Mytilus edulis: one gene and its partner. The protein of the gene in region 1 interacts with the protein of each later gene in a pairwise test. Links are inferred from orthologs where the notes say so. Each region holds a gene or a part of one and is shown on either strand. Other genes may lie near its edges. The genes, in order: syntaxin-16-like and proteasome subunit alpha type-6-like.

Region 1 (13,413 bases):
TTTTATTATACCCCCGCTTTAAAAAAGGGGGTATACTGTTTTACCTCTGTCTGTCCTTCCGTCTGTCCCATGAATATTTTTCGTCGCATTTTTCTCAGGAACTACAATACAAGGATTTCTGAAATTTGGTTTCAGGGTTTATCTAAGTCAGCTATACCGTGTGATGCGTTTTCAGATTGATCACTCGACAACTTACTGTTTACCGAACACTTGTATGATTTTACACATGATAGCCAAGTTGAAAATTTTCGTCACATTTTTCTCAGGAACTACAATACAAGGATTTCTGAAATTTGGTTTCAGGATTTATATAAGTCAGCTATACCGTGTGATGCCTTTTCAGATTCATCACTCGACAACTTCCTGTTTACCGAACACTTGCATAGTTTTACACTATTAATATTATCCACTTGCAGCGGGGGTATCATCAGTGAGCAGTAGCTCGCAGTTTCACTTGTTTTCACATGATCTAGCTGGACAGGGAATTCATTTTGTTCCATTAAGTATCCCAAAAAACTGGATTTGACCCTTTGATCACCTTTCAGCAAAAACTTATGCAAATTCATAAAATTACATTTTTCTTTTTCAGGACAGTGAAGCAAGATTAAGAAAGACAGCCCTTAAAGAAACAGTGTCATCAACACCATCATACACACCTACACCAGAAACTAAACAGGATTTAATGAGTCAGATAACAGCGTTCCCTAATATAGCTATTATTATTGCTGCACTAATTATAGGAGTTATTCTTGGAAAAATGCTGTTATAACTATAACTGAACATGTGAATGCAACAAAGTGACTATATAAGACTGGAATTTAATAACTTTTAAAAAAATAGACATTTTAATTTGTAACTGTCACTGTTTAAATTTAAGATAAGTAATTTGGTGTAATAGTGAGTTTGATTCGAACAAGACCATATTAGGAAGCTTATTCATTACTATAGCGGTCGGTTAAGGACTTATTTAGCTTCAAAGTACCTCGTCTATAAAAAGGTTGGAATTTTTGTCCTAATTTTTTGCTTCTTAGTTATTTATACATTTTTAGCTCACCTTACCCAAAGAGCCAATTAAGCTTTTCTCATCACTTGGAGTCTGTCATCGTTGTCCAACTTCTCCTCTGAAACTACTGGGCCAAATTTAGCCAAACTTCATAAGGGTATCGTTCTGAAATGTGACCAATGACTTTGCATGCTAATCAATATGGCTAAAAATAGACCTAGGTGAGCGACACAGGCTCTTTAAAGTTTTATTAATATATTTGAATTATTAATTGTCCTTTTTTGTGAATAACACATATTTTTTTAATTCAAAATTTGGTTCAGTTTTCCAACAAAATTGAAAGATAGGTAAATGTGATATACAAGATGTTGACATATAGCACTTCATATTTATAAAGCAAGCACTTTTAAGGAATATGTCGTGAGTGATATTGAAATGATAAATGATAGTAGGGATTCTGTAATCACCTTGTGAAATAAGATTTTGTTGTTGTTAAGATACTGGATATAGCTAATGACAGCAACTAATTAGAATATTTAAAACTCATATAGAAGATGAGCAATATTAAAATATTAAAATGATAAATTCTTGTCAATTAAATTGAAATTGCTGAGGCACTTGTTCTACATTATGTGCTTAACATCCAAAAAAAATGTTATCTGCATGCAAAAAAAGAGACTAATACAAGCAGTTTATTGTATTTATTATATTTCTAACATTAAACAATAAATGAATGCTTAAATCATTCTTAATATCAGAAGTAATGCATGTTATAATTCATTATTGAATGATATAATTTCATACTTGTATGTACTTTCATCAAATTGATAGAATACTATATTGTGTATTAGATGTGTTCATACTTGTGTATTATATGAAAGGTGTATTATCATTTAACACATATGTTTTGGGAGTTTTGTTATTAAAAGAAGTATTGATAAAGCATATATAGTTCCTGGAATAGTTTTATACATATTCTATCGAAAAATTCTATAAAGGTGCTAGCTTTGAATTACATAATATTTTAATTCAGATCAAATCTGGTTTTGCACAAAACCCATAAAATTTTCTGAAATTCTCTGAAATGTCTATAGGAACTATACGACTATATTTGAAAGAAAACTTAATGATGATCATATGCACATGTGCATTTTTAGGCCTTTGTACAAATGTTGTATATTTCATTTTTTAGACCAAAATTTAAGTTGATGCACTGTTTTGTTTTCCATGGTCTTATTTTGTTTTGTTTTAGTTTTTTTTATGAAAATGTTTACTTTTTCCATTGTTATTCTTTTTGTTTGTTTAGACTGTTAATTTAATTAACTTCTTTTCTTAAGTTTTGCCTTATTTAAACTAGATTCTATGAAGTCTAGTTGAAGGTTCATAATTTCTTTTTGTTTTATTTAAGAAAGACACCAAATGAAAAGAAAACAAATTTATACTTTCACACCCTTAAAGTACGGAACAATAAAATGTTGTACAATTATGCGATACATTTCTGCTTTCTGACATTTAAAACTTGAAATCATAAACAGTGGTTGTGATAATGATGCCAAAATATAGGGATTTTCAGATGTAAGAAAGTAATATAAAGTCCCCTTGTACATATGTCTCATCACAACCATATCACAGCTTTTGATATTGTATTGAAAAGAAGAAATTTGGAGAGAAGTTTTGTAACGTATTGGTTGATACTTAATATGCAAGTTTTTCTTTCTTAAATATACTAGAACATGTGTCAGTTTGATGTATAATATTTATAATTTATTAGATAAGATGTTATTAAATACAATATCTTCTATTTTCATGATTTTCCTGTTACCCAATGCATAACTGTCTTATGAAATTGAATAATGTTTTCTCTTGGTTGGAATTATTACATGTGTAAATTAAAGCTTTTTCTTTCGAATACTTTTACAAGCTTTCTAGGTTACCAGTGATGTAAGTTCATCATATAACACTTATTATATAACTTTATAAATTTTCATAACTATAATTTATTAGAAAGACTTTCTGATCTATAAACTTAACATAATAATTTTCTAGGTTGATATTTGTTGACTTTTTTTTTTATAATACTGACTTTTGACTCCAATTGATATTTTTTGACAGGCTATACCTACTCTACTCTGTGGTAGGTCGTCCTGGTACCAAGTCCAGTAAATGCAACTTAAAGAAGTACATGTATAATCAAGCTTTCAATCTATACAAATGTTTGGGTGAATTGCTTTATATTTTCTTTGCACAACAAACACAACTGAAAACAGTAAACTTTTCCCTCAATTTCACCCATTATATGTTTAATTTTACTTTATTGGTGGCCCTTACTTGACCAAGTACCAGGAGGTCTTACCACAGAAATAGTTACCGGGGTACCTATTGAAAAATTATAAAGTCTGAGTTAAAAGTTGGTAATATGAAAATAGTCTATTGAAAGTGGGAAAAAAATATTTAACAGTAACTGTGCATTGACAACTCCTGACTTGAATTATTAAATGAGTGATGTATATATTTTATAGATGTTCTTTTATACAATGAAAATTACATTGAAGGCACCTTACTCTAGTTCTTAGTTGATTTATTCTTTCTCAAACCTTTGTAAACATAATCAACATCTGGTTTTGTCTTAACTTGTGCTTCTTCATTGGTTAAAATTCTCTTATCTCCCTGCTTTTGCGCAAGTCACTCAATCCAGATATATTTTGGGTTATGAATAAGTGATCATTTTGATTTTCAGTGTTTCTAATGGCCATGGTCTTGTCTGTCCTTTGTCTTATGTTTAATTTCAAATTTTCTTGTTAAGATTGTTTTGTGTTTTAAATTTAGTAGTTTCTTTAGGTTAGACGTCAACCAATCTTCTTTTATCACCAACTTCATTGTATTACTAGCAGAATTTAACAAGAGTAACACAAGATTGCCACTTGTGGAACAAGAGTAGCATCCTCTTTGATTCATGTTTTTGATTATTTTTCTCTGACCTTTTTGACACTGGTACAATTTTTATATGTGACAACTGTGGAGAGAATAGAAATATCTAATGAAGACTTACATTAATAACATTTAGTTGGAAGGTATGGATTCTTTCCATTATGTTTTTCACAAATTTCTATTTAAGAAGTTTTGATAAATTTGTTTCTTACATTACAACTTTGCCATCTGGTTAATTAAAAACAAAATCACTGAAAACATAAAAAAAAAAAAACCTGATCCCCATTACTAAGAGAAATATAAATGCACAAATTTTTCGAAACAGCTTTTAACTTTTTTACAAAAACAAGTGAATGAAGTGAACAGGTATAAGTTATTAGACAAAGGTTTACAAGACAAAAAATGATATAAATAATTTATTAGACTTAAGGTGGTACCTAACACTTTAACTAAAATTAATTTGGCTCGTTTAATTTTCTTAAAATTTTGACAAAGTATTTACTTTGACCCTTTGACAAAAATATAAAAATTTCAAAAAATTTGAACCAACCGTTTAATCAGAAAAATTACACTGGTTATATAACAGTTTGACAAACACTTATTTTGATCATTGAGAAGCTTAATATTCCCTTATGAACACAACGTCATTAAAACGTTCTGCTGATTTTACAGAGTTATCTCCCTGTAGTGTTAGGTACCACCTTAATATAGGGAAAGGAACAAATGAACAAAAGGATATATATTTGCTGAATGACATCTACCTGTTGATTAAAAAAGATTGATATTTTATACTAGTTTATATGTAGTTTTCATTTTTCACATCATATTTCAATATTAGTATTGGATAGTCTTGGACTCTGGGTTCAACCTAGTATAATTCTTTGTTTCCTCATTTTTAAGTGCTATGTCCTGGAACTGACAGGCGCAAACTTCAAAATAACAAAGCCAAGCTGGGTTATAAAATGACCAGTACTTTAAGCAAGGGTGGAATGGGATATTTAAAAATAATTTATTATGGCTTGTTAAAATTTAACTGACCAATTATTCCAGTCATATGTGTGTGCAATTTAATCTGCAATTGAGAATACTTCAATGGTTTTCGGTGTAAAATCATGTAATTTATTTATGTGCTAAGCCACTGCTAACTACCTGCTTTGAATGTAATACAAGTAATCAGTTGTATATTCAGTATGTAACATTATAGATGTAAACATTTCTAACTGATGTTACACAACCATCATTTCTACTGCTTCAACCATTTGTTACTTTCATGGGACATCATTGAAGAATAGAATGGAGTAAGTCCTGAAATGAAAGTGTACAAGTCATTTAGTTTGTTAAAATAAACTTTTATGATGATAGTGATTTTATATTTATTGCCTTAAACACTGACACATAAGAGGAAAAAGTCATGATTTTTGTTTTAAAAAACAAACAAATATTGTATTGGATTCATAAATCATACTTTGTTTCAACTGTTAGGTTTGATCGATATTGAAAATAATGCACTTCTAATATACCCCAATGGCATTCATGAAAACAAAAGAACACATTACATAACACATTACAAAAATGATTTCAAAGAAAGCCTTAGTTTATTTTCTGAAATAAAATAATCTACTGGGCAACATTACTGTCACATCTAAATAAAAAGAATGGTGTCACTACTGGTTTGAAAGAAATATTTTGATTATTCACATCTACAAAAAAATGTGTAAAATTGCTACTTTTTGTAGAGATAAATCTGTATGAAATTTCACATCCGACACCTAGAAATTCTGAAGTCAGAACAACTTAATAGTTCTCCCGTTAACAGCCATGAATGTTTATTCTCAGTCAACATGAACAGCTGGTGGTGAAAAAAATTGAATAAAGTTCCTCAGATATTCCAGAGGATAGAATTACCATATGAACCACCTTAATATATCTAACAGTTCAACTCAACAACAACTTGGGTCAAATTATGATTAAAGTGTATTTTAGCAACATTTCCTGGATATTTCTTTGTTATATTATTTCAAAAATGAGATAAATGTGTAAACATTATTATAAAACAACATAGAAAATTTATTAAAAGCAAAGTTGCTTCAAGTCCCTTGATTTAAAAATCAAGATTGAGAATGGAAATTTGGAATGTGGCAAAAGAAGCAACAACCTGTCCAAATAGTCAAAAAACGGGCCAAGGTCAGATCTTAAAAGTTTCATAATTAGTAGGGAAAGTAAAATCACAAAAAATGAACTCCAAAGAAAATTCAAAACAGAAAGTCCCTAATCAAATGGGAAAATCAAATGCTCAAACACATCAAACAAATAGACAACAACTGTCATATTCCTGACTTGGTACATGCATTTTCTTTAGTAGAAAATTGTGGATTAAATTTGGTTTTATAGCTGGCTAAACCTCACTATTGTAGACAGAAGTTTGTTTCATTGAAATAAGTAAAATTGTATAGTTCAAGCTTTAAACCTTACTTTTTTTTCCACAATGAAATAAAACTTAATATATTTTCCTTGGTGTGTGCATCTCCTTTTATATAGTCATCATCAAAATAGGATGTGTTAAATAACCAATGAAAAAAAACCAATCCATTAAAAAAGTAAGATTAAAGAGTGAATGAATAACTACATACCTTCAGGTGATTGTATAGCCTTCAATTATAAATGAAAGGTAAGTGATTAAATATGGTACAGTTTATGCAGCTGTGTGTGAATCATTACCATGCAGTATATATATAATTCAAAGGGAACAACCACTTAACTTCAAGTGAGGAGGGGGGGGGGGTAATTTTTTTTGCCTTTAGTTTGATTTTTCTTTCTTGGAAAGTGCAAACCTTTTTTTTTTTAGTTTTTCAATGCTGTCAATTTTTTTCAAAATTTAACATGCACTATGGCATTGGAAAAATCAGCATTCAAAATTATTTGTTTTTTTACAAATTGAGGATCAGAATACACAAAATATGACTACCTGAGCACATGCAATTAATATTTAAGGATGTCTGCTGGTCATGTTTTTGAATTCTTGTCATATTTTCGATTTTCTCAGGTTTTATCCATCCAAATGTATTAAAAAAAATTTTACACGACACCCCCCTTTTGTCTTCATAAATCTGTTCAATAGATCATTTCAGATTTAGTGATCCGGCGGCATGAAATCCTTGTTATTTTTTCTTGGTTTAAAGGGTAAAAAACAATTCCAATGTTAACAAATAGTAAAGTCTGAAGAAAACCCTTTTCCCGCCATTTTCTAAATGTCTCGTATTTTGAAAACTACACACGATACTAATGATTTTATTACTTTATTTTGTTTAAATATCAAAGTTGTTTTCATTTTAAGCAACCACATGAAATCCTTGTTATTTTAAATTAGAGCAGCAGACATCCTTAAATGCACAATTATATTTATTGCAACATTGATGTGGTGTTCCTGCATAGGAGGGATATACAATTACAATAGAAACTATTTTTATTTTTTTCTAAATACTCTTATTGATACATTAAATAATTATTATAATATAATAGATACACTTTTACATGATCTTGCATATATTTAGAATTGAATTCGATAAACAAGTCGACCAATACGTGTTACGGAGCACCGGAGTAAACCATGTGAGAAACAAACAAGACTTTTATTTACTGCGGATGATGGATTTGATGAAAACAGTTTCCTGAAAATTTGACAGTAGCCGGCTTTCTTGAAGATATTCTGTAGGAGAAAAACACAAAGAGAAAACATTAAAATGGCAACACGAAGTTTAACAGAGGTTTTCATTTTGATGAGAAACAATGCTTTACAAAGTCGTCATATGTTTTCTGAACATGTAAGAAATCAATAGAATTAAGAAAACAAACTATAATACTTTTAATTTTCGTTTCATCATCATGTACATGTATGTCTGTTTTCTTCAACAAAAACTTTCATTATATTCAAACTTAAAAGATCTGCATTGCAATGTATGTTATAAGACATAAGAAGATGTGAAAGAGGTGCGAAAAATACCATAAACTCATACTCAAATTCAAACTCATAGTCATAGATTGAAAATAAACTGACTCAACTACAAATGTATTGCAATGGCACATCAAAAGATGTAACTGAGTGGGGAAATACAAAGATGGATAGGTGCCCACAGTCCCACTCTCCCCCGTTTCTGTTTGCCTTGGGTCTGTCCATTATCCTGGTTTGATTGTTTGCCATTATGCCGGCATTATTTACATTTTGAGAGCAAAAAAAGAGGAGCTGGTTTAATAATGTAAATATTGAAGTAATTACATTAAACTATGAGTTTTCAATCTGTCTGTACATCAGTGTATTTTGCCCTTATCAAAACACAACTTATTACAATAACCATACGAAAAGCCTAAATATATTGTTTATCTTTTGAAATTGAAACAGTATCCAAAAGTAAAAAGCGACACACACAGAGGCATATCTTTCAAGACCAACAAACACTTAGGCCAAATAAAAATATATGTGTGGTTCCAGTAACCCGACCGACCCTAGAACTTTTTTTTTCATTTCTGAAAAATAAATTTTCAAACGATCAAATTTTGAGGATTGTGAATTAAAATAATTAAATTCAGATTTCTGTCATAAGTATCTGTTATGGCTAAAATGCAAGAATTCATAACTAAATGCAACAAAATTAACTAAAAACATATCATGACTGTTTTAGTTTACAACCAAACACATGTAAAAATGGTGGACTTCCGGTTGGGACGTATATAATACCCTATTTTTTAAAAGTATGTAACTGGAACCATACATATATTTTTATTTGGCCTTACATGTACAGTGGAATCCCCGGTGTCCGCCAACCGGTGATACCGTGCATTAGCTGATTTCGTCATATTACCACAGCAACACAAATAAAATTGTTCTTGTTATTGTTTTAGTATTCCGAAGGTATAAAAAGAATAAAATTGATAAGTTCAAGAGTTAAAATATTACTGCAATCCCATGATTTACAATATTTGGCCAATTCCCATTAAGAAAAATTACATCTGACATCAGATAAAATGTGTTTTATTTAAGACAAATCTATATCAGATTGAAATAATTTTTGCTCTGCATGCTTGGCAGTGTGTTTGGTTCAAATTCAGGCATATTTCGTAGCAGAAAATCTTTCCTTTATTCAAAATAATCTTTGTTTGGAAGGCATGCGCAAAATCACTGGATATTGGAGGAACTGACTGACTGCACCATACTGAACAGCCTTGCAATTAGTTACTTAAAATTCATCACCACACAAATAAAAACTGTTGCCTATTGTTTTTGTTTTTTTTATTATTATTATAACCTCTCTGAAATTCTTTATTGGGTCTTGATCATGATGGCAACATAAAAATGGGATAAGAACAGCCATGCAAACCTACAAAATAAAAAATAAAAACTTGTTAATTAAAAATCACAATGATTAATGTGCATGTTCTGACATCCAAAACATTTAATTTTAGGTTAATGATGACCGGATGGCACTTGTTTCAAATGCAGCTTCTGATATGGAAATGGGCAGTATTAATACAAAATCATCAAGACTGCCTCCAGAATGGTAAGTACGACTAACGATATATTTTTTTTTCTTGTGACACACAGAAAAAATTAGGGTCTATAGTTTATTTTTAGATATTTTTTTCATGTATACATCTTAATAGGTGTAATACCACCAACCAAATCATGGTACATTACATCCGGTTGTAGACCAAAATTTGGTCGAAAAAAATATTCCCTTGAATAATTTACTTTCAGGGGAGATAATTCAAACTTTAAAAACAAAAATTCAAAGATTATATTGACTTATACAAGGTTATGCTTCTTACATCTTAAAGCAAATAAAAATGACTTGTACAAGTATTATCCCTGACTGTTTAGTAAACACTAAATGTACCTCAAAAGTATAAGATCAAGACAAACTGCAGGAACAAAGTGTTTTACTTTCAATAACCAAATGGTTTGTTAATTGGTACATTTTTAAGCTTTAATGCATATTCCAGGCAGTTGTATTAATTAGACTTTTTCAAATATAGTAAGCAGGTAAAGAACACATGATACTTTCATCACAAACACCATAGCCCTTAAACATTATAAAATAGTCCATATTGTTACAAAAAATAAAAATAGAGGCAATAAACAAATAAATATAAAATACTTTTTATTCCACTTCCTATTTCAAGTAACAAAAACCAAAAATAACAATGAACAATTTTTTTTTTAATTTTAATTTTGGAATCCTACATAGACATGATATGTTGACAGAGTTGTGACAAGATGGCCTTGAAGCAGACAAAAACTTGATGTTTATCATTAGTGCACAATTAGTAATATCAAGCAAAGAAATCAACAGATACTGAAAACTGTCATGAAAATGTACACTTTCTGTAGACAATAAAAAAAATTGACTGATTTTGATAAATCATGTTTATTTTTTTTCCAAAAATAATGGTAATGATAATTATTTGAGACCTCTGTTTCTGAAGCATCACAGTAAAAGTTTAACCAATTTGACACTAGTAGTAGCCGAAAATGACCATTTCCACCTGACAGTAAAAGGCATTCATACCCTCTTACATAGCATAATAAATACATTTTACAAATTATTTTGACAGGGTAGATGGAGTAGAAGAGGTACAATATGAAATGACAAAAATCAAAACTAAAAGTAAGTATACAGATTTTTTCAGATTTCAATTTACATATGTAGATGTAATTATTGCAACCATTGAAAATGCAAATGTACCCATTTCTCATTAGTTAACTTTTTGGGTAAAGATTGCATGAAATGCTATCAAAACCCTATGGTACTGACTTGATATCTAAATCTTCAAAGTTTTATCACTACCTTTGAGATCCACACAATATGGTGCATTGATCATAACATTCTTAACATCCTATCCGTGAACATTACCAGAAATGTATCAATAAAATATATACTCAGATATTCAGTTAAAAAATTATGTTATACTTGTCAAAATTAGATAACTTTTGCAAGGTACATGAATCTAATTAATATCTATTCTATAAATATCAATGATGTCATCTTTAAGAATAAGAGTTATCTTCCTTTGTTTAATGGTTTATAAAATGCAATTAAATTATTGAATTTTACTTTCCACTTATAAATTGTAGCAATCTTCACCATTCAGTGCTTACAAACACTTAGGTTTCACAGTTTGGATAATATGATAGAGATTTCCAAATAATATATCCCAAATTTTGGTTGGTCAGGCCAAAATAGCTATTTTAATAAATTTTATAATAATTTTAGAAATTTACAGTATGCAGAATCATTGTTAGCTGGAAGGAATTGTTAACTTGAACTTAATGTTATTGACTGGTTTTGTCGGGTTAAACAATTGGACCTTTAACATAAAACTGCATATTTTTGATTTTTTAGTGAAGGAACTTGCAACACTCCATGACAGACATTTAAACAGACCAACGTTAGATGATAATGTGCAGGAGGAACATGCTATAGAAATAATGACACAAGATATTACACAGGTTTGTTTTCATGTTAAGGGAGATGATTTGAGATATAACCCAAACAGACAGCAACCCAATGACACAAAAAAAACCAAGAAGACATGAAGTAGTCTATAAATATACTTCAAGAATAGACCATTGTAAAGCTCTATATGCCTATCGCATACTCAATTGTGTTTGTAAATTTAACAGAAACCATTAAAAACTACTGTCCACACTGAAGTCTCTGAATGACAAAAATTAGAATACAACTAAGGAGCACCACTGACAATGTTCCTGACATAGGGAGGCACATATACTTGTTTCAGATGTTTAATCTCAATCATTTGAATATCAAAAGGTATATAGAAAAATCAGGACATAGAAAACATTTGATGAATTATATTGCTGAAGTAGATAGTCAAAACACAATTGTATGCAAAACAATAATAAACTCTGCCCTAGCAAAGAGTACACAATTCAATCATCCAAATAGCACAATTTTATTAGTAACATTCAAAATATTTCATACTGTGAATTCACTTATTTTTCATTGGTAGTAATTTTCTTTGATTAGGAATATTTGATTCCATGATTTTGCTAAAGTCTGCATACAGGGAAATATATTTAATGTTGTTCAGTTGAATTCATTGTTTATCTTTACCATAGAAATCCATGAAAATTTATATCGAACGAATAATTTTGAATCAAGAGTAAACAATTAGTTTTCTTGCAGATGTTTACCAGATGTCAAATAACAGTTCAGAGAATAAGTCACAAAGGAAACCATGGGACAGAGCAGGAAAAAAGACTAGCCAAAAATATAGTATCATCTGTGGCCAGATCACTACAAGATATGTCATTAAATTTTAGAAAAACACAATCAGATTACCTCAGAAGTAAGTTGTTTCATCTTTTGATAGGGTAGACTAGAAATTCTTTGATACTGACACTGATGACCAAGGATTGTTCCATTAAAACATACATGATACCCAGTGAAGGCACTTTTAAAAAGGAAACCACCTATAGAGTCAACTTACAATTTCACTTGCATATCCGCTATACAAAAAGATAGATGACACCCTACCATTGTTCAGATTTGGAAGTGCCTTCCCTGGGTTCCATGTATATTTTTATGGAACATCCCTAAAATAGTCAAGAACACAATTGTATAAATAGTAATATGACAAAGTCATGTAAACTTGTCCTATAACTTTGATTTTATTGTTACATAAAAACATTTTCACTGAAACCTTTAAGTTTTTCTTCGCTTCTAAAAGTCGGAGCTTCTTGTTGACTGATACAGATCTTCATCTGGTTATTTCATACAGTATTACACATTTACAGTTCCTTACTTGTAACTTAATTAATGAGTCAGTTTTAGTCAAACCAAGAAACTGTACATTTGTAATAGAATAAACTCAGTAAATTTGGCATCTTAAGGTGGCTCGGGCATATATGAAGTTTCTATCAGAAGTGCCGTATTTGTGTTTATTTTATTCTTTACAGAAAGTGAAACAAAGTGGTAGAAAAAAAATATGGGGTCACTGACCATTTAAGCTCAAAATTTTACTTTTAAACAGGTGTGTAAAAGGGATCGTTTTTCAATGAAATGGTAGGGAATATAGAGGTGTTGACATATTTTTATCGGAATATCAAAAAATTTCTATGACACTTGGTCCAAAACTCTTATATAAAAAGCTGAAATATAGCTTCAAACAGTGAGCAAATAAAAACATAAGTCATCAATAAAAAAAAAATATTTTGCTTTAAAATCCAAATTTAGGCGGGAAAATGGTGAAATTGGGTGAAATGTCATTTTGAGCCTTTCACAGATACACATAATAATGATAATATTTTTTGAAGGACATAACTACAATGAGTTAATATTTCTAATCAATCAAAATATTTTAGAAAATATTATCGAATTTACGACACATACTTTTCGTGTGTATTGAAATTCTTGCATGAAATTATGTGCCGTCAAATAGTCCGGATCCACCGTACCTTAAACATTGGA
Region 2 (12,861 bases), on another chromosome or scaffold:
ATATAACCACCGTGGGATTCTTTAGTTAGGTCACTGTGCCAATGTAACTGGAGAGCATGATTTTCATGGTAAAGACTGAGTGAAATTCACTCAAAACCTGGACTTGTGGGATAGGAGTCCCGAGTTTGAGTGTAGAATCATGCTCGCAAATTACACTATAAAAAGTCTTTGCAGGGTGTGTACAATGAGTCCTATGGACAGTATGTCTTTGCAGGGTATTGACAATGAGTCCTATGGACAGTATGTCTTTGCAGGGTATGGACAATGAGTCCTATGGACAGTATGTCTTTGCAGGGTATGGACAATGTATGTCTTTGCAGGCTATGGACAGGGTTGGCAAAAACCCGGGTTTTATGAGTATTGCCCAGCCCTGCAGTCTTAAAAACATTCAAGAGCCACTCTCAAAAGAGTTATGAGAGACTTTTACATAAAAAAGGACAGCTCGATAAAAATACAAAACATTTTTTATCTATATAAAACATTCGTCCTTTGAATTAAAATATCATGGCAGATTTTGGCAGAATAAAAGCACAAATTTTCATTTGTAAATAAAAATATAAATTTTTCATCATCATTTAAGTCTAAAAAATCAATATTAAAAGAAACTGCTCTAGTAAAAACCTCTTGTCTTGTATGTGAATATAAAGGGCATTTGAGTAAAACATGTTTCTCATCTTCAATGAGTTTCTGTTGCATACATGAATCATTAAAACAAAATCTATTTTCACTTAAAACCCCTTCATATCTGCCTGTTTCAATTCTTATTGGCGCCACACCACATCGAAATTTAGCAAAGGCGCTTTTATATTTTCCTGGCATATGAACACTTAAATAATGTTCTTTATAATATTCTTGTTTAAATGAATGTTAAAATGACAATTCACTTAAAAAAAAGCAATTTTATCAAAGTTTGGATTATTGAAATAATGCTTGGTAATTAACAAGGTACAATATGTATCCTTAACCCTTTCGCTGATGAGTCCCGGTTTACCGGGATTCACGCTTCAGACAGCTGACGATGAGTCCCGTTTTACCGGGATCGGAATACCTCTTTTATATTTCCCGCTCAAAACAGTGCTAACATGAGTTATCTTTCTTTGATGAATACCCGGATGAAAGTGTAAACATGGCGCTTCCGTTTGTTGAAAACCGTGTCAAAATCAGACGAAATTTACGGAATTTACGAGAATTTGAAATGAGGGAAAAAAAAATTTGAAAGAATATGGAAGAATTGAAGCCAAACTAGTATACTTTTTTGACATAAAATGTTGTTTTATGTACAAAACACTTGGAATGGACATCATTCAGTGCGAGGAATTTGTACAGCCTCATAAAATTTTTCAAAATTTTGCCGTTTTGGGTTAAAAAATTACGATTTGGGTCTTAGAGCAGAATTTTGAGAATTTCACCTAGATAACGGCGAAAAATTGAAAATTTGAATATTTTATGAAGAATAAGTTATCAAAACATGAACAAAACTGTGAACATGGTGTTAGTGAATGAAATAAATACACAAATAACTACAAACAAGTTTTTATTGACATTTATTATGAAGATCTCCCACTTGAGTAATATAGTAGCCAGGGAAGCCATCGTCTCAGAGTAGCTTTTGTCTGGGCATCAATCGGTGAAAGGGTTAAACGTGATAATCTTATATTCTGCCTGCATATAAAATTAAGGAAAAACAAGTGAAATTGAATATTCATTCTTCTAAAAATGACTCTCAATGGTTATCTGTATAAAAAGAATGTATTTAGCTGTAATACTATGAAACTACAACAAGTCTTTAATATTTTGTGTTAAAAAAAAAGCTTAAAAAATCATATTGCCCAGTAATGCCCACTATTACCATTTCTGGGAGTATTGCCCAGCCCGGGAAAACCCGGACCTGGGAATTACCGGGTGGGTAATACTTTGCCAACCCTGGCTATGGACAATGAGTCCTTTGGACAGTTGGTCTTTGCAGGCTACGGAAAATATAGCTGACGTCTATGGACGTTGTGGAAGTGTGGATGTCAAGTCTCGAAAGGGTACATACATGTATAATATTGTCTGTATGCTATATGCCCTCCTGGGGCCCTAATTTGGTAAATAAAATATTCTATTCTATTCTGTACATGCCTTCTTTATTATAATTAAGTGTTCACAAATTCTTATGGAGATAAACAAAAAAGAACTTGTTCGGTGTGAGCCAAGGCTCTGTGTTGAAGGCAGAACATTGACCCATAATGGTTTACTTTAAGTCTTTTATAAATTGTTATTTGGAATAAATTGTTATTTGGATGGAGAGTTGTCTCATTGGCACTCACACCACATCTTCCTATATCTATGATAATAATAAGATATAATAAGATAAGATTCTTATGAAAATTTTGATATGAATACATGTAGATAACAATACACCTTATCGCTAATCCAGGCTGACCTGGCCGCTTGAACTTTTCACGTCAACAACAATCAGTTTTCCATTGTGGCGTCAGAAATTTTGTTTTATGACGTCAAAATTTTACGGGAACCTGTGTAATATCCAGTAATGGCAGACAAATAGCGATAAGGTGTATATGTTACAGGGAATTTGTGAAATCAGTGATTTTGTAAAATCACTGAAATTTCAGGGAATTTGTAAAATCACTGAACTGATTAGTGATTTTATAAAATATCTGATTTTGACTAGTGATTTTACAAAATCCCTGAAATAATTAAGATCTTTTTTACAGATTCACTGATTAAATTCAGGGAATTTGTAAAATACATTCATTCATTTTTATTAAGAATTTCTGTGAAAAAAGACTACAACAGTAACACTCAATAAGTTTGAGGTTAATTTAGTCTTTATTTTAATATTAAGTGAGCGGTTTTCATGCACAAAACAACTGACATACTGTAGAACAATGGCTCAGGCACAAATGTCTTGAAATCAAGAGCAAACATACACACAAAAGTTACTTCAAATAATTGAGGTAAAATTAAAGTGCAACATATGGAACCAGGGAATATGATAAACATTTTGGATTATTTGGTCAATGAGCCACAGAAGGAAGACAAAACAAGCTGTTATCACTACCGTGTTTGAAAGAAAGTTACTGTTTATTATAGTTTTTCTGTATAATTACAGTAGAAAATAAAACCAATTATATCAATTTTTTAAATCAAATATAAAAACTGATCAGAACATTAGGTTGATTGCTGTCATTAGAGAAGAAAAACACATATATGTAAGGTATAAGAAATTGAGTGGGTTAGGGTATGTGATCCAGTGGCAAATATTACATGCATATCAGATCAAGAGCATCTTATTGCTGCATGAAAAAGTGTTGTATTATTAATTTGCTGCCTATAAAATAACATTTATATTCACAAAATAATAATAAAAAAAGACAACAGAAAACATTGGTAAAAACACTTTGTTTTGCACTTGCATGTTCATGAATAGGTTAATCTAACCAAGCAAAAATAAACAAAGTTTTACCTACTTTGATCATTTATCAGACACATGTATTCTATCACAAAGTAGTATAACTTTGAATAAGTTTCTAAAATTTCTCAACTCTTTTAATCCAAATAAAGTAAATATTTTGTTGATAAATGAAGGTATGAAGTTCTTCAATGTGAAGATTTGAAAAAATTGTTAAAAACTATATTCATCAGATGAAGATGTTTTAAAAATATTATGTATGTCTTGAAGACATGTACAGCATAGTTAAGAGAATTCACATATCAATAGCTTATAGTGGTAGGGATGTCACCCAAACTTGTCTTGCAAAAATAAGCAAATTCAGAGTGGTCTAAATACCTGTTTAAATGCCTTTTAGTCATTATCATTATACACAAGTTCTAGCTCATAGAGTTTATTTATTAAACAAATATACATTGTATTTATAAATCATTAGTGATCATTCATTTGGTCTATCTTTATATTAAGAAAAACACATCAGTGCTCTAGCTAGAAATCAAAAGGGGCAGGGTGCCAGTGGAGGGCAGGGCACTTTTTATGATAAGAAAAGGCGCTGCTCATTTTTTTGTCTACGTTTCTGTGTGTATCACGAGTTAACGAATCTCTTTTTTTTTTTACTGTATATGGTTTTTTTTTTAAATAAAGATGCTTTTTAACTATAGTCTTTATTTAATTGTTTGTGTAGTTATGAATGATATAGTATATCTTCATCAACATATTATGTTTTTACAGTTTAACTTCACTCTACCCATTATCAAAGAATATGTGTTTTTCTTATCTATATAGGAATTATAGCTTTTAATACATGATATGATCTGAATCTGAGAGCATTACTAATTTAACAATGTCAATGTTTAGAACATGGATTGCTAAAAGTATAATTATCAAGTAGAAATTGCAATATATATTTTTTAATATGTTCAAAGACAGTTAATATCTTTAAGGTAACATTATTATGTTATTATATATTCAATTGGTAATTTATTCCTTTTTTTTTATACTAGATAATAATTTTAGAGCACAAATTTTTAATAAGCTAAAACAGGGGAAGTAACTCCAAAATCAATTCCCACCACGTTTGGGTTAATTAAAAACTGCTTGTCGCTAACAAGTTGAGATGGAAGGCATTTCTGTAAAGGCATAGTTTTATTTTGATGACTTGTATTCAATTCTAAAGTCATGAAAGTCTTCATTTATATTCGCTCTTCCATTGTGACTTGGAGATCGAAAATGCCGACCCAAGCTAAACACACTCGCTGACACATTCATCAAAAGTATGACAAAAAGATACATTGTCCTAATTAAATTACCTAGTTATTAACACCTTCGAAGTCTTTATCATTGTAATTGATTGTAATGACATGATTAACCCGGGGGCAATCACACAGGTGTCATATATGTAATTAACTTGGAGATCAGAAATCGATGAAACAAAATTTTACCAAAACGGCACAAGATAATTTTGGAAAAAGACGTCAGGGCAGAAGGGCGCGGATGAAGGCACCCAGGGCGCGGCTGAGGGCACCCAGGGCGCGGCGCCCTTCTATTTTGGGCTAGCAGCCACTGCACATTTCTAATAGCATGTTATACTTTTACAAAATCTCTAGCTCTATTTTTAGTGATTTTGTAAAATCCAGAACAATTTCAGGGATTTTACAAACCACTGAAACTGTTAGTGATTTTACACAATCACTGATTAGTCCAGTGATTTTACAAAATCCCTGATTTTACAAATTCCCTGTAACATATACTATCATGCTATAGAATGTTTATTGAATTATATATATAGCAGCTAGCTTTTAATTTTTTATCATAGATATAGGAAGATGTGGTTTAAGGTTCATCATAACCTTTTGGCTAAAATGGCCGTATTTACACCCCAAATTTTACTCCGAGTACAGACTAATCTATACACCTGCAACAGTTTTAAGGGATGGCAGGAACTAGATATATAAATTTTAAATGCATTTTATGTTTCAGAAAATTATAAACTTTTCTAGATTTTGCTATCCATTTTTTTTCGTTCCTGCAGAAGGTGCAAAAATTAACTAAGTAGTGAAAACGATTGAGAAGCTCCCCTCATATAATCAATGTTGTGAGTAGTATTGATTTAAATGGACAATAGATGGACAATAGACACCTGTAAACAATAGGTGATTTAACAGGTTTAAACTGTGTAACTGAGTGGACCGTATCAAATGAAACTCGGGTGTTTGTTTATTTTGCTATCTTCTGCAGACTGGAAAAAAATGAACATCAAAATCCAGGTAAGTTTTTAATTTTCTGAAACGTAGACTTCATATAACTTTTATATATCTAGTTCCTGCCATGCCTTAAAACTCTCCTGGATGTACCAGTTTGTCTGTACTCATAGTAATTTTGGAGGTGTAAACACGGCCATATTTTTCAATTCCTTATGATGAACCTTAAGAATTTATGTAGACCAAAAGTTCAAAAAGCTTTAATGATGCTAACCTCTAAGTCTTGAAAGTGGTGTGTACTGAACTTATAGAGACGTATGTAAAGTAAAAATATATGTGATAATGTGGTTGTCACCCTCCCCCTTTTTTCGTTTCTTCTTATCGAACCAACAGTATCCCTTACCAACTTGATAAAGTCGTCCTTCAGGAGAAAATATAGTAATATGTCTGTCGAAACCTGCACTGCTACCTCGAGACATCTTTTTATGAACAAATGTCCATGAAATTATAAAAAATACCGGGTGATAAAGCTCTTTCAAAAGTGCTGACTTTACTGTCTGATTTCGTATTTAAAAAAAAACTAAAATATCATAGAGTAAATTGATAAAAAGCATCAAGCCGTGTTATTATATTTTTATTTATGTTTTCCATTAATATAAAAGTTTCAATTCAAACTGAATATTATTATCAAAGCTAGCCTTTCTTTTTTATCATTATTTTTCGTACCGGAAGTCAAACCTAGCTGGCAGCTCGTCAATCAATCAAAAAGTTTTGTTCCAAGGAAATCACAGGTAAATTGACATTTATTCATTACGGTTCACGTGTCACACACATAAATAAACTAAACAACTTTCTGTAATAGTGATAGTGATACGGTTCAGGCCGAGAATGAACAATAAGAGGAGTTTTACAGTAAAAAAAATAATAACATGAAACCTTCTCACAAAAGGTACTGTAAACTCTTTACTATACTTAGTTATATGTGGCTGTCACATAGTAACATATTGTTACTGTTTTAATCAGCAATTATGTGCTTTTCCCCTAAAATGTCACATTTTTCAAACATATGGCGTGACAATACTGACATATTTTATCTTTTAGCCAGTGCATTATGTATTCACTTCATGGAATTAGGACCAATAATGACAAAAACTGGAATGGAAGAAAACTTTATATAAAACAGTAAAATGTGCAAAAATGATGTAAATTTTTGGGGAAAATATTCATGAGGTACTACATATTTTTTGGGAAAATATTCATGAGGTAGTACCTCACACTTTCAGCTCTTTTAAGAGTATTTACAAGGTTATTTTTTATTTCAACCGATTTTTCATGTAGAAGTTTCGAAGATAAATGCTTTCTGCTAGGCACTTGATACTTAGTGTCAGCTTTTTCCATCAAGTTTTTAAATTCTTCACTTTCGACAATAGAGAGTGGTAAAAGATCCCCAGCTATGAACATTATAAGAGCATTTGTCATTTCTAACTGTTTTGGATCAGACGGTGAATATTTTACACTTTTTTTTATGCATTGTGTCAATGTTGGTTGAATTTCTTTATTCTCAGAATGCAGAATGTACAATTCTCTGTGTTTTCTCTGAAAATTACAAAAGGCCTTATTTAATATCTTGAAAATATTAAATTGTTTTAATTTACCTATTGAAATTTTACATTTATTTAAATTTATTTGATTGTAAATGATACAAAAAAAGAGCACTATTTTTTATTTTTTGAAATGATTTTCATTTTTATCCCAGCTTATTCAAATTATTTATCTTAAATAAGTGATTTAGAAATCTGACTTCTTAAAACAAAAATAAACTTTAGTTTTAATCACAACTAATTAATTTAATAAACAAAATATTTTCCAAATTTAAATGTAAGCTATTAGAGGATATAAGATAAATGAAATCTGATTAGAAATGAAAAAGAAGCATTATGAATTTATTAATTTTTAAAATTCTTATATAGTATTACCTTCATATGTGTAACAAAGTTGGATGTAACTTTATAACTTCCACTAACATGACTAATGAGGGTGCCACAATGCATACATTTTCCTTTGAAAGTATTTCCATTTTGGAAGTCATCAGGAACAGTAAAATGTTCCAGTACACTCTTGGAGCTCATTTTTAAATCTGATAAAATGTTTTCTTTCAACATTCATATATATAGTGAACAAATTTTGCAAGTGAGATTTTGTCATATGCATTATCCCTTCAAGAATTTAAACATTTACCTATAGGCCCTAGGGGTATATTTATCTCTCTCTAATTAGCCTTATATCTGTTTAACATAACTGTTATAAAAACAGTCATTATATAGTTTGTAATAAAACAAATAGCCAGAGGTTATATTTATTGGTTATTTAAGTCCTTGAATAAAGTTAATTATGTTAAATCAATGTCTTAAAATATCTATCTAAATCTACTAATTAAGGTCAAGACAGTGACTTCCTAGTGGTTTCTTATGGCATGTGTCTACATTTTTTTTATCATTCAATACAAAATGAAGAATCTACCATGGTTGTGTTAATACAGAAAGTATACTGTGAAGGCTTTTCTTTGTCAGCTTACAACATTTGTTAAGATTATTGCTTTTAATAATTTTTTGAGAAAACACAAGATTTAATCTTTTGATCCAAAATTTCAAATGTAATTGACTTGTAATTGAAAAGTAATTGTCAATTACAGGCAATTTTGGCTATGTAATTAATTACATTCAATTACATGTAATTGAAAAAATGCTCAATTACACATTACATTCAATTACATGATAAATTGTAATTAATTACAGTCAATTACAATTACATATTTCAATTACCCCATGTCTGTGAGGTACTAATGTTAATATGATGACAACACTGTATGGTAGGAACTTTTCTGGTTTATACATCATACAATGTCAGGGCGGTAAATTACATAGAGGCATGTAGGTAGTTGCCTCCTATTGCGGGCTGACAAAAATAAAAATGGAAAAAAAAAAACCACTGAATAGAAAAAATTGGTTGAAATCATGCATTATTTTTATAGCACTGGTTGTAAGTTAAAACAACAAGGTGGTTAATCATAATGGCATGCAGGTGTGTTCAATATTTGGATCTGAACGGTCGGTACCCAACTCAACTCCTTTGCACACATAAAATTTTCCCACCAAATACTATTGCATCTGCATACATAGAAGTGACAATGTTGGGAATATTGAATGCATAGAAGTGCTAAAAAGATGGGATTTGTCCAGTTAGAAAAAAATTACCTTAGCATTTCACAAAGCCAGAATAAAACTTTTTGGTGTATACAAACATTGTTACGTTTTAATAATTTGAACTTGATAGATAAAATTATGAGTGATTGAGTATGCATTTTCATTTTAAGGTTTGAAAATTGTGTCTTTGAAACGAAGTCAAAATTAGTTCGACTTGGACCACAAAAAATGACCAACTTCAGGGGGCTTTCATTTTAAGTCTTTTGCAAAATTTTCCCTTAACTAAAGTAAAAATATCCTTTTCTGCATGGAATGGGTCAAAAAAAAATTTTGCCCTGCTCCGCTCGGCGATAATAAACTGCCTCCCCTTACAGGGCAGGCAATTTACGGCCCTACAATGTACATTTTGTTCAGGTTTATACCCCCCTTGTTTTAGGGTTGTGTATAAAAAAATCAAAGTGCAAAATTTCAAATATTAAAACAGCTAAGATCAATGAAGATAATGAACAAACTAAACAGGCAATTTTGTACATACATGGATACAATGTATACAATGAGAAACATCATTCACCATGTTCACAGCCATAATATTTATTGTAGCATTGCATTTATGTCAGATTCACCTGTTATGGAAAGGTGTACTGGAATACATGTAGGACCATAATTGTATTCTGTTTTTATTTCATATCTATAATAAACAAGTGCTTTCAGATGGAGGCATTTTTTATGTCATTTTGATCATATTTTAATTTAAATGTCCTCAATTTGAAACATTAGTCTGACAATATTTTGGTTAACACTTGAATTGTACATGCTGAATGTCACACAAGTACAACAACATGTAAGAATATTATTCATTGAAATTCAAATTTACGAAAACAGTCATGATGGTGGGGAGGACATGTACATAGTTTTCTGAATTCTAATAAATTTCTAAATGCATGATATTTTAACAAAAATGTAACTGAAGCTGTAAAATGATGTAATGGGTATATATTACATGTATTATATAGAGAATGGAAATAGGAATGTGTTAAAAAGGCAACCACCAGACTAAAGAGTAAAAAAAAAACAGCTGAAGGCCATCAATGGGTCTTCAACACAGTGAATACATTCCTTTTTGAGATTGATCTATGAAATTCAATTACTGAAGATATTCTGAGAGATTCATCTTGCAAATTATTAAGTTTCTGGAAAACTCAAAAACCAAAGATGCTATATATTTTTTTTTATTGCTTCAAATAAACAAAAAAGATTCTAAACATATATTCATTAGATTAAATTCAAAATTAACATTTTTATACGACCGTAATTTTTTGGTCGTATATTGGTATGACGTTGGCGTCATCGTTGTCGTCAAAAGACATTTGGTTTTTTGCACTATACATGTAACTTTAGTTAGTAAATAGAAATCTATGAAATTTAAACACAAGGTTTATGACCATAAAAAGAAGGTTGAGATTGATTTTGGGAGTTTTGGTCCCAACAGTTTAGGAACTAGGGGCCAAAAAGGGCCCAAATAAGCATTTTTCTTGGTTTTTGCACAATAACTTTAGTATTTATAAGTGAAGAGAAATCTATGAAATTTTAAATTAAGGTTTATGACCACAAAAGGAAGGTTGGGATTGATTTTTGGGAGTTTAGGAATAAGGGGCCAAAAGGGTCTAAAATTAAACTTTGTTTGATTTCATCAAAAAATGAATTATTGTGGTTCTTTGATATGCTGAATCTAAACATGTACTTAGATTTATGATTATGGACCCAGTTTTCAAGTTGGTCCAAATTGGGGTCCAAAATTAAACTTTTTGTTTGATTTCAACAAAAATTGAATATATATTGGGTTCATCAATATCATGAATATGCTGAATCTAACCATGTATTTAGATTTTTAATATTTGGGCCCACATTGGTCCACATTGAGGTCTAAGGGGTCTAAAATTTAACATTATTTGATTTCATTAAAAACTGAGTTCTTGCAATTGGGGTTCTATGATATATGCTGAATTTAACCATGTAATTAGATTTTGGATATTGGACCATAATAGGTAAATGTCCAATTTAAAATTTTTAAGTTTTTAAGTTTAAGTTCTTAGACCACATTCATTCTGTGTCAGAGACCTATGTTGTGTCAACTATTTAATCACAATCCAAATTCAGAGCTGTATCAAGCTTAAATGTTGTGTCCATACATGTAGTTGCCCAGACTGTTCAGGGTTCGACCTTTGCGGTCGTATAAAGCTGCGCCCTGCAGAGTATCTGGTTTGCATTGTAAACATGCATTATTTTCTTTAAGAATATTACATATACCGGTACACTGAAAACCATAAAAATGTTTTTGTTGGTCTTAGTTTATATCTTGACATGAATTACAGAGTTTTTTATGCATGTGTGAACTTCTTTTACAGTTATAACAGTAATCTATGCAATGAGGTTGCAAGTTTTAACTCTTGTAAAGGTGAAATCTATTTCAATCTTAAATGACGAAGATTGTCAGTTTTCTAGCCGTATATGTACATGTATGAATGTAGATTGTTGGTTTTTCCGAAATTTTTATAGATGCTGCCTTGCAAACAAAAAACTGGCTGGCATTATATGCATCGTAACATGAAGCTATTTTAAGGGCATTGAAAGTGGCACCTAACCAGCAAATTAAAAAAAAAACAACATTCATTTGTAGTCATTGTCAAAACTATATTCAAAATTAGGAAGACTATTGACTTAAGCCTAAAGTAAAAATAAATAAATTGCATAAAAGCATACTGTTCAAAACCTTAAGCACAATTTCCTGCTAGAAATTTGCTAGTGCTAATTAATTGTAACAGAAATTTCTAATTCTTATTTTAATTTTATAATACCTTATGCTACAAAAATCTATTCATAATTCGGCAAAATGCATTTAACATCTGATTGTATTTTGTTAATGCCAGCTGTTATTCAGGATTTTGAATGTTAACATGCATCACATCCTATTAGACATTATTTTCAAACTGGATTTTTGAAATAATCCCTTGTATACACGTACTTAAATGTATATTTACATTACACACATGTCACAATGCAAAAGCTAAAAATTATGCTTGTTTTCCCTCTATTAGACATGGTTTAATTTGCCAAAGTCTTTAAATTTTCAATAATAATTATGGAGCAATATGTGCATGTTTCAATTCTTTTCTTTAAATTTGATATGTTTAAACTTTTTATACTTAAATTTCTGTTTTAATGATGTAAATAACCATTTGGTTTGTTTTTGGTTTATTTTTTACTAGGGTGAAGTCGATGTTCTTGTTCTTCTTGACCCTTATTATCATGGATTAATTTGTGGGGGTTGATTATCTCAAGACATAGTACATGTAGTAGAGTTGAAAGTTACTGTTTGAGGTTGGCCTGGCTATGATGGTCATCATTAATACATGTATTACAACAAACACATTTTCAATTGAAAATGTTAGTAATATCAACATTCAAATATATGTACATTTGTACATTATGCAATCCATTTCACAATAACAGTTTATGATTTATATGTATTAACCATTATCTCCATTTTTGCCCTGTGTTTTTTTATATGACTGTTTTGCTTAAGTCTTTACATCAAACACGCTGCATTTGTTTGCACCGGTTCTAACTTAGGACTCCTTTACCTGAAAAGTTATGCATACCTTTATGACATAATTTACAAGATGAAGTGGACCACCTGTATCCTATTATAATTAAAGCTCATCAAATATTTTTGTGATCATCATTATGAAGGAAAAATTAAGAAAGAATTCCCTCTTTTTGACAACAGTGTTGATTATTACTTATTAGAATTTAATTTGCAGAACATTTCATGCAATATAGCATCCTATTTTTTCAACCACACAGTGACACTCAACATGGGAAGGAAGTCTATTTTCACTCTTTCAAAAACTGAACTTACTTCTGCTCATATTGTTTTATCAGACAATCATAAAATAAAGTACTGCCCAATCAGATTAAGTCATACATAAAAAAAGGCTGGTAT

Evidence for each region.
Region 2: the proteins of syntaxin-16-like (region 1) and proteasome subunit alpha type-6-like interact in a two-hybrid assay, tested with the Caenorhabditis elegans proteins (3 studies listed by BioGRID). The link is inferred for Mytilus edulis from reciprocal best matches to the Caenorhabditis elegans genes syx-16 and pas-1.

The regions. Positions count from the first base shown.
Region 1 is NC_092348.1:67,001,634-67,015,046, forward strand, and holds the start of syntaxin-16-like, read left to right. Parts: upstream 1-7,547; 5' UTR 7,548-7,671; coding exon 7,672-7,752; intron 7,753-9,388; coding exon 9,389-9,483; intron 9,484-10,537; coding exon 10,538-10,590; intron 10,591-11,325; coding exon 11,326-11,432; intron 11,433-12,129; coding exon 12,130-12,292; intron 12,293-13,413. Other genes in the region: vesicle-associated membrane protein-associated protein A-like, read left to right, coding at 590-769.
Region 2 is NC_092346.1:58,861,105-58,873,965, forward strand, and holds the start of proteasome subunit alpha type-6-like, read right to left. Parts: upstream 6,226-12,861; 5' UTR 6,135-6,225; coding exon 6,059-6,134; intron 1-6,058. Other genes in the region: adenosine 3'-phospho 5'-phosphosulfate transporter 1-like, read left to right, coding at 6,585-6,604. UniProt on the Caenorhabditis elegans protein: The proteasome is a multicatalytic proteinase complex which is characterized by its ability to cleave peptides with Arg, Phe, Tyr, Leu, and Glu adjacent to the leaving group at neutral or slightly basic pH.